2 linked regions of the Drosophila melanogaster genome follow. The protein of the gene in region 1 interacts with the protein of each later gene in a biochemical or structural test. Each region holds a gene or a part of one and is shown in the gene's direction. Other genes may lie near its edges.

Region 1 (5,157 bases):
AGCGATCACCGTGCTGCAGAAACTCGAAAAAAGGTACTGATATAAAAATATATAAAAAAAAAAACAAACAGCCCAAAAAAAACGCAGTGTAAACAATTTTTTTAAAGCCGCTCGTGATTAACATTAAAAACGCATTTCCAATGGAGATCTGATTCTGCATGCACCGATTTCCGAGAGGAACAGATAGGCGGACTGCGGCAGCCAAGCAGAACGTTTATAAATATAATACAGTAGTTAGTGGCTACAAACGAAACAACCAACCATGCTAAACTTACAACTTTTCTAAAGCTATATCTATTTGAATATTAGGTATCTAAATTTATAATCTGGATCAAGAACTCATTTAAGTATAACCACGGAGTTATTAGCGCGTTCTTCTTAGGCGGAGCTTACTGTTTAAACTATGAATTGGGCGGGAATTATATATTCAGATATGACACGACCCAAGTTGCAAGTGCAGCGGAAGTGATCCATTACGCAAGTTTAGAGCGGAAAGAGCGGTGCGATTGCTCGAAAAAAAGAGATGGCAGAGTGGAAGGTAGAAAATGAGTATTAAAACCCATGGGGGTTTTATTACAATTACAATTCTGTGACATGCCAAACGAATCCCTCGAACTGGAAACTCTCTGTTCCAACCAGAATTCTTTATTTTTGGTTTTCTTTTCCTGTTTTGGGGTTAAATCTAAATACATACAAATGGCATTATCAAAGTTTAAATAAAATACTACATTTTATAATACATAACTTAAAGGGGATATATTATATTTGATTGGCAATTATAGAAGTTCCTTGTTCTCCTAATATTACAAGTTTATCTGGTTCTTTGTGCAACAAACTCACCTTGTGGCAAAACGCGGCTGCCTCCTTGGCCACGCCTACTCCGTCCGCTGAGTGGGCGTGCGTTGATGGCGAGGTCGCGTAGACGAAGAGCGGTAGCGAGCTAAAGTTCCGTTTGTCCTGAAAGCGGCGGCTGAAGAATAACGGCTTGTGGCATCCCGCTGCAGCGGCTAGTATGTTTGTTGTTGTTGCCGTTTTCGTAACACTAGGTGTGGAAGCTACTGCTGCTGCTTCTTCTTGTCTGCGCGTATTTACTGTTGTTGTTGTTGTTGTTATGGGTGCTGCAGTTGTTGTGTTTGCTGTTGTTGCATTTGCTGGGGTCGCCATTGGCGTATCGCAATTTTCTCGTATTATCGCCGCTTCTTCCTCTTCGCTGCAAGTTGTTGTTGTCTGTGTTTGCGTTTTTGTTGTTGGCATGACTACAACTACAGCTACTATAAATCGAATATAAATATATCGACGGAGGCGTGGGCGGTGGCGGAGCTGTGGGCGTGTCCCTGCAGCTGCTGGCGTCCCTTATTGTTGTTTCTGTTGTTCTTGTTGTTATTACTTAGGACCTTGGCATTATCCTCCTCCATCTTTTTTGCTGTTCAAGAAGTCAGCGAAGTTCAGCGCTTGCCAAAACTGAATGATTAGCACTTGCACATCGTCGCGTTTATCTTGGCTTTCTTCATTATTTCTTGTTTTTCAAGTGCAAAAATATTGTACAAATTCTTGGGCCATACAAAAGTGTGAGTTCTGTGTAAAAATTCACAAAAAAATACGCACGAAGCCGATTGCGGGGGTGGGAGAGAGATGGCGATACACGAACGAGTTCAAAGGGCCGCCAAACTAGGAAAAACACGCCAACAAATCAAACAAAACACTTGCACAACCGCAATTCGATCAATGTCGAAGCAAAACAGCCACTAATATTAAGTATATTACTTAATTAACAAACACTTTTGTTTGAAATATTTTGCAGACAGTTAAAGTTAGAGCTGGAACCAAAATCGATGTTTATGCGATACTATCGATGTATAGGGTAAGAGGGCTGCATTGATTAAATTCAGCTACCGTCGATTGTTTTAACTGTTCATACTATTATAACGGCAGTTTCAGACAGCGGAAGCGCCATTTGGAGTAGTGAGAAAATAAAAAGTTAAATTAAATGAACCAGTTTATTTTGTTAAAAATATTTTCATCCTTATGATAATAAAATCTAAATACTAAAAATCTACTAACGCCTGTTATTCCCAAAAACTATCGATAGCACAACGGAAAATATCGACAAGTATCCTGAATTGGCACGTCGGCCTTGCCAGACCAGCGCTCTGGAGTGAATTTAAATTTTAAAATAACGCCCTGTCAATTCAGTTGTAGAACTCAGTAGCTAGTCGGAAAGTTTTCAAGAACTCGGATTACCAACATCTCAAAATTGCTCAGTAAAAACATTCCGGCAGCCTGCAACACGTTGGGTGTTAACAAATTTACATACAAGTTGCAAGCTTTTGGGCGCACGCACCATCGATAAGAAGGTAGTTCGAATAAAATATAACACCTCCTCGCTGCCGGTAAAACTATTTCTTCTGGCTGTTCCCGAACTAAAGTGAGTATGAAGAGTCTTGCATTGGCAATCAAATTGTAATTAACTGATTCATCCCTCACCTAAAAGGCGTTGCCACCCAATCGATCTGGCCACCCCTAGCGAAAAGGTCATATAGCTGGACTGCTCTGCTGGACTTCCGCTTCACAACACTACCACACGACACAGACACACCATTCCTCTCGCTCGGGCTTACACTTCGGTGTAACGATTGTGCTTCGTTGCGTTCTCAGCTCACTAACGGTCGTCTCTATCGCACAAACGGTCGAAAGGCCCCGCATTGATTGTGAAAAAATAATCGTCGCCGTAGTCTTCGTCGGGTCGCCGTTTTTACTTGCAGTGCGCTGGTGCTGCTTTATTTCGTGACAAGGGACACTCAACCGAAAGAGCCATATTTAAGCATCAAAGTTCTAGAGGCGCAACGCAGCTTTGTGTTTCGTTTTTCGTTCAATTCTAAGCAGGAGGATTATATATTGAATAAAACCCAATTCTGTGCGAAGAACAAAAGAAATACGCGAGACACCAACACCAGCACACAACCAACCAAACACACACACAACCAACCAAACACACACACAACCCAGAAAATCAAATTTCAATCAGAAAATGGCGTTAAAAAGAATCAATAAGGTATGTGAAAAAAGGAATATCTCAAAAAACTTTGCGAAACGGACTAAAAAAAGAAAGAACAGAACCCTTTGCGATACACCAAAATGATAGTCTAAAAAAAAAGCGAACAGACATCAGTTTTCAACGGGAGAAAAATTTTATGCAAGAAATGTGAAACGTAGGTAGTAACCGAGGAGAAGAAAGAAGAAGCGGGGGGAAAGAAGCGTGCAAGAGGGAAGGGAGAAAATGAGCTGTGGAGTTACCATTTAATTAATAAGTTAGTAATTAGGAGCAGATTAGAAATTTTGAGGGTGGTGAAAAAGGTATAAGGATGTGTGTGTGTGGTGGGCAAGGCAACGTGTAGTGCAGTCATCGCTTCCGTTACTTTTGCGAGAGTGTGGGATAAGTGTGTGTGCGATGCGTGTGCGTGAAAGTGCAATGCAAATGTGCATTGTTTGTGTGCGTGTGTGCCGGGCACCTGGATGCATTTACATTAATGCAACTATACGGCGGAGTTTTCGCAGCTCTACGGGCGCTGTTACCCAATACACGCTGTACACGGCACTCGCACACACTCTCAGCCTCGCAACAGTCACACATAAACGCACACACTGCCAGCGCCGCAGAAAGATCCAGCAAAAAATAAAACAGAGCAAAAGCAAGAAGCGTATAAAATTAACCTAACCCTACTTTTTGCGCTGATAATTCAGAAATAGTGCTGCCCCCAAGCATATATATTTATATATGTATTTAGGTAGAGTGGTTCTAGCGTGCGTGCTTCGATAATTATTTTTAAAGTGCCTGCGCGTCGTTTGTCCTTGTCCAGTAAATGCTTTTTTACACCCCAATGTTCAAGGCCCTGACAACCCGATATTTTTTCAAAGTCATCCCAGCCTTCCTCAAAAGCATTAGTAATATCTCGAAGTTGTGGAAATGTTACTTGGCAAATTGGGATCTTTTTTTACGTTTGAAGCCGGTTATCATAGTCATACCCCACACACACACACATTAAAACGCTCGCAAATACAAAGTCTCGCCATCACTTGGCTATGGCCATTGCATGCCATCTCGCTCTGGCCCTGGCGCATTCCCTTTGCCCGCGACAGCTGAGGCCTCATTCGGTCCCGCTCGCGCAATGGGGCAGAGCCAAAGAGAGCGCAAGTGTGTGAGTGCTAGCGGGGCTTAGTGTTGCAAAACACCGTCAGCCAAAAGGGGGCCCCCAAATAATTAGTTATAAATTATAATTAAGCATAATTTACATACAAAATGAGCAGCGAATGCGGAATTTGTTCATATCTATGCGTATGTGTGAGCGTGGTGTGTATTTGTGTTTGAATGTGTGGGGCGGGGGTCTGCTGACTGTCTCGACAAAAGCAGCGCTGCCTGCGTCGGCGTCATGGCCATTGAGTTTTCCTCGTTTTTCGTAGTTTTCTATCCATTATAACATTTTAATGCCTGCCTAAATGAAAACGAAATGGCAAGCGGCAAACCGGAAATAAAAGTATACATTGTAGTAAACTCTTAAAATCACTCACGCCCCCTTTTTGTGGTCAATTCTTCAAAAGCCTTTTTTCTCTAGATGGCCTCATTTGCCAAAAAAGAGAGTTAAAGAGCGAGAGAGAACGGCTTAAACGCCGATCGGAGCTCACTTGAACCGTACACTGAACGAAATGGGCTTTAGAACCAATGCATATGGCATTTAGTCTTACTGAACCAATTCTTAAAGTTCACAATATTAATTATTCGAATAAGAATTAAATAGAAGTTTGTATTGGTAGTGCACCTGGTCTAATATTGATAATATTATCGAATTTTCTTGCTGTGCACAAGTGTGCGTGTTTGTTTTTACTTCATTTGTTCGTCTGATATGAGTCATAACCGCTCCGACTCCCAACGAAAAAAGAAATGTAACAATTTCTTGTAATTTATTTTTGCTCAACAGGTACAATTCCCAAAATGAGTAAGTGAGATGGGGCAAAGAAACACGGTGTTTTTCGCGACGGCTATTTTTGTTGTGCTCCACTCTGATTTTGTGGTGCCGTTACAAACACACGCATACACTGAAGCTCAGTCTTCTCACTCTCCTTCATTCTTCCTCCTCCTGCTGCTCCTCCTCTTACTTCTCC
Region 2 (5,484 bases), on another chromosome or scaffold:
CTTTGCGTAGGTGTCACTCAATAGATTTTACTCTATTCATCTTATTTGTAAGCACTTGGTTACTTCTGGTCTTTGTTATTTACTTATTGTGTCACTGGGTTTTTTATGATTTACATAAATGTTTATTGTAAGTTAATAAATTTAAATGCCTGGCTTGTACGTCCTCAACATTTTTCACATTACGCTGTCTCACTAAACAGAAGGTTTATTGTGACTTTGTAGGTCCAGGACCGACTCCGTGAATGGATCAAATATCATGCGGCACGGCATTCATGGCACTACTTCATTCAATGTATATCCTATTATAAAGTTGCGTGGGCTTGGCACTGCGTTTGGCATTTCCAGAATGTGGTATAAAGGTGTTTATAACGTCCTGCGAAGTCCCCTCGCAAATGAATGCGATATTTGGGACTTTGTTGGCATTTATGTATGTATGTCATGAGCACCACACACGCGAACATATGCATATTAAACACAGTATTATTAAACAAAAAGAACCTCCTGAAACTTTGACACTTTTCGATTCCAATTAGCAAGTGGCGGGCGAGAACAATTGAATCAGCTAATTGTTCCACACACATTTGTGTGGGTAATTTACGTGAATGAAAAATTATTTTCGTACAGCACGTCTCTTGTCTTCTTCGGGAATATAACGAATATAAAATTTCAGGGGATTACAGCATCCCTCTGACGGAAAGCGAAGTCGGCGGACGCGAGTGTTCCACTCAACTCTCGTGTGCTGTTTCAAAGTTTTCTCTGAATCCTTAAGCTTTTTCTGGGAAGCGAGCTTTTGTCTGTGTGCCGAGAGTGAGGGTAAATTAATTTGCAACAACTAAGTTAGCAAAATGCGAACCCAATTAAGGATTGTATCATTGAAAGCATTCTCCACGCTGCAGTTTTTCCTAAAAAACAACAAAAAACTGCAGCACCGAAATTAGGACAATGGACATGGAAGTCCATTTTAATCTCGATGTGTACATATATCGGTACATCATTTCTCGGAAGGGATCCACAGGTTACTTTTGTTTATCATTAACCTGGCATTCCTAAGTCGCGAAAGCTTTTTACCCTTTTATCAATATCTTATTAATTATTAAACAAAGCAGCAAAGATTATATCTTTTTTTTACAATTGCTTTTAGAATTTTTTTAGTGAAATTATTTTAGGTTTCTTACATGTCTTACTGTTTGTCATCTAAAACTGTTTAAGTACAACCCTAAAGAAAATAACAGCAGTTCAATGCTTTTTGTAAGCGGTACAGGATCTTTAAGTGCAGCATTCATTTATTTACGACTCTTTCGAACAACCTGCCATTTAATCAACAGGTTCCGGCCATTTAAACGGAATTTAATAAGGGTGTTTTGATCACGATTCAACCTAGTAGGGTGATGCCAGTGAGTTTTGCATTACTGACCATTTTGTCGTGGACCACGATCGTTAAATGTATGACATGCCGAAAGATCGACTGTCAGTACCATCCTTACATGAATGCAGGGTGGCAACGCCCTAGCATATTTTAGTATTTTTGATTTTGCTGGAGTAATTGGAACACTTGAGTGATGTGAAATTCACATCAAGAGTAAGTTCGTAAGATCGTATAACAAAAAGCTTATTTAAGAAAAAAAGTAGTGCAATTAGAAGAACTTTGTTTTTATTATAAGGGTAAGACCCTTTTATAGTCCATCAAACCCATTGATGGATTATAAGTTTTTAATGTTCTAATAACAACCCTAAGTGAAACATATTTCACAAGCAACAAGTTGGAAACGCAATGAGGAGGTTCCCCTTTTCAACGTATTTCGCTTGCCTTTCATTGCAAAGGATAGTACTATACTAATAACCGATGAAGATCGATATGTTTTACTGATCGCAGTGAGCAAGAGATATAACTCCGATGACGGCATGCTGAACTAGTTTTTTTCTGCCATAAGGTGTAACTATCTGGTTCACATAAATGCTTTGTCCACGCCGGTTAAGTGGCAAACGTGTGCAACTTCGAGTATACTTTTTTAATAGTTAATTTACATTACTCCATGAAGTGCTGTGCCGTTTGTATATAACCAGAATTCCGAGAATAGGCGTAAGTGAAAACTTTTGTTCTCGAGCTGATCGTACATAGCCATGCATGTACATGTACATAAGTACATAGTGTGAAATGAACGAGTTATTTCTGAGCAGGTCGAAAAAATATGTAAATAATGTAATGTGCATATGAATAAGTCAAGGTATTAGGGTTATATGCTATACTCTAGTGCTCCCACAGGACTAAACACATATGCCCGCAGTGTGCCCATACTTGAGCAAATACTTGAATTAAATGTGAAAAGAAGGTTGCAACATACATATGTATGTATGTACTTATGTACGATCATTTCCTATTGTACGCAGTGTTCCCATATCGGAGTTACCCAAAGTTCCTGATAAATCGGCACACATAAATGGCTTGAGAGTGCGGCGATCCATAGAATCCATAGCTTTAAACGGAACGTATGGCCGATATAATGGATCTTTTATGCTCGGAAATCATAGTCTACGAATCAGATCCATCATTGTATCGTTTGAACAAACGACAGCAGCAAATGTCCTCACCGGCGATCATTCGGGATCAATCATCGATATGTTCATCCTTGGGGGACGCGGAATCCGATTCCCATCCGGATGCCCAGAACAATGCCGTAGTGTGCAATATGAAGGAGCTGGTGTATATATACGCGTCCGTGGACTCGGCTGCGAAAAATCCAGAACAATTGGAGCCGCCTCCGCCACCTCCACCACCGCCGCCACCACCACCGACAGCGACCCAATCAATCCAAAGTTATCCGCGTTACATCAGCCAGGAGCCACCGACGTCACATTGCCAACGACTCGACGAACGCCTGACCACAACAGCCGATCCACCCGCAACCGACAACGTGAACACTGCCATCGGGGATCCCACATTGTATTCGGATCGGTGTCTGGAGAATTTCCTCAAGGTCGAGGAGAAGCACCACAAAATTCCCGACACGTACTTTAGCATCCAGAAGGATATTACGCCACCGATGCGCAAAATTGTCGCCGAATGGATGATGGAAGTGAGTAATTAAACGAAATGTAGATACAGCATCCAAATCATATCAAGCTAGCCGACTGTGATATACGCATTATTTATAATCTGTTAGAAAATATTACCAAATAGATGGAAGTTTCCAAGAACTTCATTAATTAGTGTTTGTTTTAGTAGTCCTTATCGCACACCCATTACAATATTTTGACTACCCTTTTCGTTCATTAATTGAATACATGTTCACAGGTGTGTGCCGAGGAAAATTGCCAGGAAGAGGTCGTATTACTGGCATTAAATTACATGGATCGATTTCTTTCGAGCAAATCAGTACGCAAGACCCAGCTACAAATTTTGGCCGCAGCTTGCCTCTTACTGGCTTCAAAGCTCCGTGAACCCAGCTGTCGTGCTCTTTCGGTGGATCTACTCGTTGTTTACACGGACAACAGCATCTACAAGGATGATTTGATTGTAAGTACCTTTCTCGTAATACAATACCTTTCGGTGAACATGCGGTTTCATTTCATTCCCAAGAAATGGGAGCTGTATGTGCTAAGTCGCTTGGGCTGGGACCTCTCATCTGTGACTCCCTTGGACTTCCTTGAGCTTCTGATGATGCGCCTGCCGATAGGCAGCAAAAACTTTCCGGACATAAACATTGGCAAAGTGCGGGGACATGCTCAGGCATTTATATCGTTGGCAGCAAAAGGTAAGCCATATACAAAACAGTCCAACTTAAGTACTGACTTCCCACCCCTTCCTTTGAAGAACATAAGTTTGCCAAGTTCTCGGCCAGCACCATAGCTGCATCGAGCATAGCTGCGTCAATGAATGGCCTAAAGTGGCATCTGCGATCGGGACACAATCTACACTTCCTTTTGAGTCTGATGACCGATCTAACCAGCGTGGAGCAAGTGAGTATGGCAAGGGAGCAGTGTTGTTATGTACCACCACTCAATTGATTTTAAATGCACAGGCTCAGGTGCGAGATTGTATGCTGCACATGGAGGACATCTTTAAGGAGCACAGTCGGAATCTAGAGCCATTTCTAGTGAATATTGACCCAAAAGAAATGTCAACATTATACTACAAGAGGCGCTTCCAAATACATCAATCGCAGCATCTCTCGCAAATCTCAATTAGACCCTTGCCGCTACCGAAAGCTCCTGCCGAGTGCGTGGAGCAACACCAGCAGCAGCACAACTTTGGGTCCGCAGCGCCACATCGGACGCACACGTGCAAGATGCAGGCGCAGGCTCAGGCTCAAAACGAGATACAAGACGTTACATTTTGAGGTGTCAAATGATAGTTATGCATACATGATAGTTATGTCAGGCTTAAGTTGAAATTATATATAGGATCCAAATAGTCCGATCACTATAGGATTGGCCAATATCACACTATTTACATTTGAATCGATGTATTTTATATGTACGCAACTATTTTTTACCAAACTATGGGTTATTATTTTTAGCTATCCTAAATATTTTGTATAAAATAGTTTTAAATAATCATCATGAAACTTTGAAATGGATGAAACATAAAAACGAGACTGATTGTAAGCAGCAAAGCAACATTTTTTTTTTGTATATAAGCTTTTCGAAATCCTACACAGATAACCAAAAAAGAACGAACTATTAAATGCAATTTTTTTAAAAACCATCCAACATAAAGAGAAAAACAATATGTTAAAGTTAACTTTGGATAACAATTATATAAGTTGGCAAATAAATGATAGAAAAAAGCAATTTCTTCTCTGCCCTCTATGATGTATGTATATTTTCGTATAATTTACTTTCAGATAAATCGCATTAGCTTACCAAACGAATCCAAGTAGTTAAAGGCAATGCGAATAATTTAATTTTTCTTTATTTTCTTATTAACAAACGTCTATAAACAAGAATCGTTAAAGACCATAACCTTAACACACACATAATATTTATCATTGAATAGGTTTTTGTATAATTTCTTGCGGACATTGCGTTGCTAAATAATATTTGTTCGCATATAATTCATTGCTCTGAGGATAGTTTAGTTCATACAAGTTTTTAGAGTGAGTACATAGTTCGATTTTTTTTTTACCATCAATGTAGAAGCATTGTAACACTGCAATTAACGATTTTCCTTTTAGATATTTCTTCGGTTTTTGTTTTGAGCTTTAAAAAAATACTGGCTTTATTGCATTCCTGCACTCGTCCGCCTCCTGCACTGCGATTCGAAATATCATATATGTACGGATATATGTAATACCATCTGGAAACGAAAACTATGAAGCTAGCAGCACTGTTTTTTACATATACATAAATACTCGTTTTGGAAAATAAATTTTTTTTTTTTTATTTCACGTTCAAATATACTTTAAAAAGTAAATGGTATCCCCGATAAACTTAATTCGAAAGCACTAATTTGAATGTTGAATTGTCCAAAAGATCATGTGTAAA

Evidence for each region.
Region 2: of the proteins of eff (region 1) and CycD, one has a biochemical effect on the other in vitro, tested with the Drosophila melanogaster proteins (one study listed by BioGRID).

Annotation. Positions count from the first base shown.
Region 1 is NT_033777.3:14,738,275-14,743,431, reverse strand, and holds the start of eff (effete), read left to right. Parts: upstream 1-2,112; 5' UTR 2,113-2,425; intron 2,426-2,491; 5' UTR 2,492-3,028; coding exon 3,029-3,052; intron 3,053-5,157. Other genes in the region: jvl (javelin-like), read right to left, coding at 841-1,254. UniProt on the Drosophila melanogaster protein: Catalyzes the covalent attachment of ubiquitin to other proteins. Mediates the selective degradation of short-lived and abnormal proteins.
Region 2 is NC_004354.4:15,906,127-15,911,610, reverse strand, and holds CycD (cyclin D), read left to right. Parts: upstream 1-1,934; 5' UTR 1,935-2,501; coding exon 2,502-3,074; intron 3,075-3,292; coding exon 3,293-3,514; intron 3,515-3,577; coding exon 3,578-3,752; intron 3,753-3,811; coding exon 3,812-3,957; intron 3,958-4,019; coding exon 4,020-4,337; 3' UTR 4,338-4,789; downstream 4,790-5,484.